2 linked regions of the Daphnia pulex genome follow. The protein of the gene in region 1 binds, or shares a complex with, the protein of each later gene. Links are inferred from orthologs where the notes say so. Each region holds a gene or a part of one and is shown in the gene's direction. Other genes may lie near its edges.

What was found.
Region 2: the proteins of replication protein A 32 kDa subunit-like (region 1) and SWI/SNF-related matrix-associated actin-dependent regulator of chromatin subfamily A-like protein 1 are in contact, whole or in part, in a crystal structure (PDB 4MQV), measured with the Homo sapiens proteins. The link is inferred for Daphnia pulex from reciprocal best matches to the Homo sapiens genes RPA2 and SMARCAL1. Residues at the interface, in NP_002937.1 of Homo sapiens: Pro222, Glu223, Ser250, Asn251, Glu252, Gly253, His254, Ile255, Tyr256, Ser257, Thr258, Val259, Asp260, Ser266, Thr267; in NP_001120679.1 of Homo sapiens: Leu5, Gln9, Lys12, Ile13, Asn16, Arg17, Ala20, Leu21, Arg23, Arg24, Lys27.

Annotation. Positions count from the first base shown.
Region 1 is NC_060017.1:2,574,086-2,577,118, forward strand, and holds replication protein A 32 kDa subunit-like, read left to right. Parts: upstream 1-803; 5' UTR 804-946; coding exon 947-965; intron 966-1,024; coding exon 1,025-1,110; intron 1,111-1,167; coding exon 1,168-1,269; intron 1,270-1,332; coding exon 1,333-1,446; intron 1,447-1,505; coding exon 1,506-1,697; intron 1,698-1,754; coding exon 1,755-1,907; intron 1,908-1,968; coding exon 1,969-2,048; intron 2,049-2,111; coding exon 2,112-2,193; 3' UTR 2,194-2,371; downstream 2,372-3,033. Other genes in the region: CWF19-like protein 2, read right to left, coding at 1-305, 392-475; sodium-coupled monocarboxylate transporter 1-like, read right to left, coding at 2,529-2,661, 2,740-2,907, 2,968-3,033. UniProt on the Homo sapiens protein: As part of the heterotrimeric replication protein A complex (RPA/RP-A), binds and stabilizes single-stranded DNA intermediates that form during DNA replication or upon DNA stress.
Region 2 is NC_060018.1:6,033,106-6,036,867, forward strand, and holds the start of SWI/SNF-related matrix-associated actin-dependent regulator of chromatin subfamily A-like protein 1, read left to right. Parts: upstream 1-1,076; 5' UTR 1,077-1,273; coding exon 1,274-1,827; intron 1,828-1,895; coding exon 1,896-2,041; intron 2,042-2,118; coding exon 2,119-2,267; intron 2,268-2,326; coding exon 2,327-2,468; intron 2,469-2,538; coding exon 2,539-2,680; intron 2,681-2,755; coding exon 2,756-2,923; intron 2,924-2,982; coding exon 2,983-3,144; intron 3,145-3,219; coding exon 3,220-3,330; intron 3,331-3,383; coding exon 3,384-3,558; intron 3,559-3,623; coding exon 3,624-3,762. Other genes in the region: uncharacterized Golgi apparatus membrane protein-like protein CG5021, read right to left, coding at 10-75, 135-401, 466-545, 604-758, 855-916, 992-1,030. UniProt on the Homo sapiens protein: ATP-dependent annealing helicase that binds selectively to fork DNA relative to ssDNA or dsDNA and catalyzes the rewinding of the stably unwound DNA. Rewinds single-stranded DNA bubbles that are stably bound by replication protein A (RPA).

The DNA of each region.
Region 1 (3,033 bases):
ATGCTACTGTTACTGAAAATTGGAAGCAAAGAAGGCACACTCATCCATTCATCTCTCTCAAGAGGAGCAGATGAAGCGGGTTCTGTTGTTTCAGATGTTTTCTCTACCCATTCATCAGAATCAGAGGAATTGTCTTTTTTCTTGCTTTTTTTATGTTTCTTATCCTTTTTATGTTTTTTTTCTTTTTTACTTTTTTTGGATTTACCGGACAATTGAGCATCCAACTCAGGCAGCATCCATTTGTCTTCACCATTTAATTTGGCCAATTCTTTTTTAGCTTTCCTTTTCTCATAATCTCTTTCTGCCTAAAACAAAAGAAAAATAAACTAAACCAAATGTATACCAGTAAAATACTATTAAATCAAATTGGTGAAATGTGATGGTGTATTACCTTCGCAAGAATTGCCTCTCTCGCTTCTCGTTTCATTTGTCTCATTTCATCTAAGTCTTTAGAATTTTCAAAATTTATCGACATTTCAAAGGATTATTTCTATGGGCTAAAACTTGAAAAAGAAAACTAGAAAAGCAACACAAATTATTTTCAATCAAATTTACAAAAACGAAAACATTCGTTTTGACGTCTGTCGTTTTGAAGCGAAAACAAGCATTGCCAATTTGTTCAACCAGAGTCATCCGGTTCAACTTTTAATTTTTTTTACAAGCATATAATAAATTTTAAAAACGTTAATAAAAACGTTAATTAAAATTATCAATTGTAGTAAAAATTGTAAAAAGATGCCATTTAATTCAATATTGATATCAAATGTTTCCAACTCGTCAACATCGGATTGCGAAAACTAGTTTTCCCGCCATCTATAAAGAAAAGAAAACAGTGGATAGACGCAGTACAAGTTACAACGTCTGCATACCTGATTGAAGTGATTCACGTGCATTACGTTTTGTTTTGAGAACGACAAATTTAAACGAATAATTGAATTAATCTATAATGTGGGATCAATCAGCAAGTAATAAATACAATTTTGTCAAGCTTTGTGTTATTAACTTTACATTCTTTCCATTACAGGCGATTTTGGAAATGGAACAATGGCCGGTGGTTTCTTTAATGCTGGAACTCCAGGAGGCACAGTTAATACTCCTGGAGAAAAGAAGGTTTGAAGACATTTTTAATATCTCATAGACATTTTCTCATGTTTGTTTCATTCACAGGGTGGAGCTCAACGGGCTCATAATATCATTCCAGTTAATATCAAAGATATATTGGATGAAATTGATGAAAAACTAAAGATAGAAGATACTGAAGCCCACATGGTATCCATATTTATCTTCACTTTGAGTTACATTTACTTATGATTTACAACTTATCTCTTTTAGGTTACATTTGTAGGTACTGTCGAACAGATTGAATCCAAACAGACTAATGTTTCGTACACTGTAAGGGATGATACAGGTTCTATTGAAGTTGTTCAGTGGATTGAGGGTGAAGGGGTATGTATTGTGTTCTGCATATGTTTTCACTCATTATTTATTCCAATTTATTTTTGCAGAATGTCCAATCACCTTTTCAAGTTGTGGAAGGGAATTTTTGTCGAGTTGTTGGATCTATTAGACAGACACAGGATCGCCGTCACGTAATGGCATTTCGTGTTGCGAAACTAACAACTGCTAACGAAATAACAACCCACTTGCTAGAGACGCAATGGGTTCGTATGAAGTTGAGACAGATGAAGAGAAAAATGGTAATGAACAACTCAAATGAATGCTTGAACAAAGGTAAATGATTTTTATTTATAAAGGGAGAAGGAACAGGACAATCAATGAATAACTCAGTGATGGGTGGTGGAATGACTGGGCCTTTAGCTTCTTCATCCTCAGCTACTTCCAATGTGGCAAACGGTATCATGTCAGGACTGTCATCTTTTCAATCTATGGTTTATACCATCATTCAGGTAGATTCATTTGTCATCTATGTGATCAAATTCAAACAATAAAAAACCATGTTATTTTTAGGCAACAACAGCGGAAACCGGCATGGAAAAGTCGCAGATCTACAATTCTGTCAGAGGAAGAATGATCCCACGTGATGTAGAGTAAGTGTATTGATGTGGAAGACAAACATGTTTTCATTGATTTTAATTTAAATTTTTTATTAGTGCTGCTTTGGAATTCCTTTGTTCTGAGGGACATATTTACTCTACGGTGGACGAAGACCATTTCAAATCGACCGATAGCTAAACAAGATTAAGATGTACTGTACCTTCATTCTCATTAAATATCTACTAGAATAGATACATTATACTCAAAACTGTGTCGACTCAGTCTGCGGAATTTATCCTGAAGCTATTAATTCCAACTGTTTTGAAATGGTTCAGTTCTGTCTGTCTTTCAACATAAAAGCTTAAATCGTCTAAAATCCATCGGATCTACATCGGATAATTCATTTTCAGTATATTCAAATATCAGGTACATAATGACCACGGATAACTGGATCATGTCTAATTGCTATGGCAAGTGTTTGTGATGCATTCGAAGTAAAATGTTATTTACATCATAGAATGAAGACGTAAATGTTAGGTATCAGGCAAATTTACTTCTATTATTGGTGATAATCTTCTTGGAAGTTCCCACAGTAATATCCCGTTTCGTTGCCTACGAATAACCGTAGCGCCATCGGTTTCATCACTTGGTTGGAGTGCCGCTTTACTATGATAACATTATTGATTCAAAAATTAAAGCTAAACTCGCTAACATGTAGAAAATGTTTTGCTAAAGTTATCTTACTTTAATAGACGGTTATGATTTACTCGGTAAAGTAACTTGGGATTTAGTTTTGCAGGATCTTGCGGCTCAGACAAAATGCTTCCAATGGTACCAATGATTAAGACGATCACCACGCTCAATACCGTGTACCACAAATACGAAATCCGTAAGAGCACAAATGCATCCGCTCTAGAATGGAATGAAATATCGCGTTAAGTTTCAAATTATTATCTAGAAACGGACTCATACTTTTGAATAAAAAAATGAACGGAAGGTGACCCAACGTCTGTTGAATTGAACGACGGGCAGTTATCT
Region 2 (3,762 bases), on another chromosome or scaffold:
ATGATTCGTTTAAATAATGTTGGTTGCAGAATTGACGTTTGAAGTTTGCGCTTGTCGGGTCAACATGTTAACCGCCTAAAGGAGAAAGATAATTTAGTTTGTTTTATCCAATGTACGACAAGAATTTGGTTTACCTTATCCATAACTTGCTGACGAAAGAATCCGTTGGCGTAATTCGAAACGGCCCCAGTTAGGTTTGTGCCTTTGCCTAACTTACATCGCAGATACCCATACACATTAGCTCCATTCAGAGAAAGAGCAATACAATCTAAAACTAGCCAACGAAAGCTGAATCTGAATATAGCAAGAATGAAGAGGATGGACCATACTAGAGGGAAAACAATTAAACCTATCCAAAATACTCTAGATTCGGCAGCATGCACTTTTCGTACATCACCTTCCTAAAAAAAACAGAAAAAATGTATTTGAAAAAATGTAAAAAATTATTTTTTCATCATGGTATACCTTTCGTGCCTCATAGACCCAGTGACTCTTGCCTTCACCATCAACGTAACTCCACCACCTGAGCCCTACCAAGATCCTTCCTGCAAATGATGTTCATAATTGAGTAATATTCAATAATACATTCATATGGTGAAATACCTGTAATATTTTTTACAGTCCAGAAGTCTAGAGAGAGTAGGATAACTGTGAAAACAAAACTAGTAACAAATCCATCTGAGAACCAGCCACAGAAAAGGTAAACAAGGAGAGCAGCTGCTCTGAAGCCAAAGTGGAAAAGAACTACATAAGGATGCCTATTTAAGTAAAAGATAGTGAGTCATTAATAAATTTAATGAGTATTATTTTTTCTGAAACCTGAAACGTCAACATCAAGATAGGATTAAACTTACCGGAACTGTTTCGGATTTTCTTCCTCTCCAAATCCAGGCGTGTCATCGTCAATTAACGCGGCCTTACATGACAAATAATATACATTTTAAATTGTTTTTAAATAAATGAATTTGATTAAAAATTGTTTTTAACTTACATTGGCAGCAGACGAAGCCATGGTTGCTGACGTTGACATAAAGAAGTTGCGTTTTTGGCCGCTTGGACTTGGTTTGTAAAGATTGCGCACAAGAGACGTAAGAAACTGGCAACGTTCTGTTATGGTAATTAGGTGTTTTTTCAAAGTCCTCACTCCCTTTGATGTTAGAGATTTAGTTCTAGTGGACCGATTAGCACGTGTATTTGCATAGTTAGATGGTTATAGAATAACACATTTATAAGAATTCTATTTCTTTGATATATTTATTAAACCTAACTAAAGATGCCTCTTACGCCCGATCAAATAAAGTTGATGGAAGAAAACCGTCGTAAGGCTATTGAAAAACGTGCTGCTGCAAAACAAACCGAAACGAATCAAGTAGTTACAAACAACAATAGAAGCAATTTTTCTGCTGGGAGTTCAGCTGTTTTAAGACCTCCTACCCCTGCAATTAACCCATCAGTTGGAATAAGTCCTTCAGGTGCTTCTTCGTTTTATTCAAGACCTCAATATTCGGGGGGGAAATCCACTTGGAACTCTCCAGGTTCTTCTAGTAAATTTCCACCAAAGAATGCTAACTCCGGTTCATCAGCCAGTTCTTCAAGACCTACGGCAACATTTCAGTTGATCTCAAGAAGAAAATTTTGTGTTGATGCACCATTTGACAATGAAATGATAGAGATATTTAAAAAGTTCCCCACAAAAAGTTATGATGGAGTTCTTAGAAGATGGACTTTTCCCCTTTCTGATCATCAAAAGTTGCTGGAGAGCCTTGATCCATTGCTAACAAGATTTCAATTTCAGCCATTGCCAAAGTTTGTTTTGGATATTTTTAGGTAAAAAGATTGCATCCATATACTTTTCAAATAAAAGGTGTAATCAGGATTTCCCTTTTAATTTACAGTAATGCCCCATTTGAAAAAACGATACCTGAAGTTGATATAAGCAGCATAGACCCAAAATTGTACGAGTCTCTACTTCCATTCCAAAAACAGGGCATTTGCTATGGAATTCATTTGCAAGGAAGGATCCTAATTGCTGATGACATGGGTATTCTTTTAAATTAATCATTAGCTAAGTTTCTTCCTTTTTATTGTATTTAATTTCCTTATGTCTTCCTTTTCTAGGCTTGGGGAAAACTCTGCAGGCATTAGGTCTTGCACATTATTATCTTGCTGATTGGCCTTTGCTCATTTTAACACCATCTTCAATGAAATTTGCCTGGGATGAAGCAGTTAAAGTATGGTTACCAAGTGTCCCATTACATCATATACAAGTATGTGAAAAGACAAAAAAAAATGAAATGTTCATTAGATCAACATTACTTTTTAAAAGGTTATTTGCTCAGGAAAGGATTACATCGACAAAGAAGTTTCAGTAACAATTTGCTCATACGACTTGCTTACAAAGAAACTAGACGAACTAGTAGCAATGAACTTCAAAACCATTATATTTGATGAAAGCCACCTCGTAAAAAGTATTATCATTTTATTTTTTAAATTTTTGTTTGAGAGTTTTTTTTTTTAACTACCAAGTTTTAATAATAGGCGGAAAATCAAAACGAACTACCGCTGCAAACTCTGTAAGTGCTGAAGCAAAGAGGGTGATTCTTCTATCTGGGACTCCGGCATTATCTCGCCCTGAGGAACTGTATAGCCAGCTACAGATTTTAGAGAGGAAACCGTTTGGGTAAGGAACTTTGCCATTTATTCAAATTCAGGAGTTTGAACTGTAGTCAACACAATTTGCTATAATGATGGTTAGACACTTCCATGCTTTCGGATTACGTTATTGTGAAGCCAAAAAAACAAAATTCGGATGGAATTATGGTGGAGCAACCAATATGAACGAGTTACAACTAATCCTTGAAGAGAAATATTTGATAAGACGTCTTAAAAGTGAGGTTCTTTCACAGCTGCCAGCAAAACAAAGGTAATAAATAGCAACAATGATAAAATGATGAGTAATTAATTATCAATTTTTCATTTTAGGCAAATGGTTGTCCTTGATCCTAATGCTGTCAAATGTCATTCGCCCTCAATGGATACGTTGGCTAAAAACATGACAAAGGAACATTCCAAACCAATGGAAAAACGGGGTGTTCTACTATCTTACTATTCCGAAACGGCAAAAGCCAAAAGCAAAGCTGTGTGGTAATTTTTAGAAATGTAGCTACATTTAAACAAAATTATACTTATTTTCCTGTCTTTCCCATCTGTCTTTTCCAGCGACTATATTGCAGACTTATTGGAGAATGGCAAGAAATTCCTCTGTTTTGCTCATCATCAATGCTTGTTAAATGACATTAGTCGGTGCATTGAAGAAAAATCTAAAGCAGGGTAATAGACCTTATAATTGAATTTTATAAATTTTAATTAACGTTATTTTAAAGTTACATTCGGATTGATGGATCGGTCTCTTCGGACGAGCGGAAGAAGTTATGTGATGTTTTTCAAAATAAGGAAAGTGTTCGGGTCGCTGTGCTATCGATCACAGCTGCAAACACTGGATTAACTTTGACGTCAGCCAATCTAGTCGTTTTTGCTGAACTGTTTTGGAATCCCGGTGTATGCTAAAAAAAATATTAGAAAGAATTCAGAATTTTACGTAAGCCGTTATTGATTTCATACAGGTCTTAACTCAAGCTGAAGATCGCGCTCATCGTATTGGTCAACGGGATAGCGTCGTAGTCCAATATCTAGTAGCAAGAGAAACTGCCGACGATTATCTTTGGCCCCTTGTGCAGAACAAGCTGGATATTTTGAGCAAAG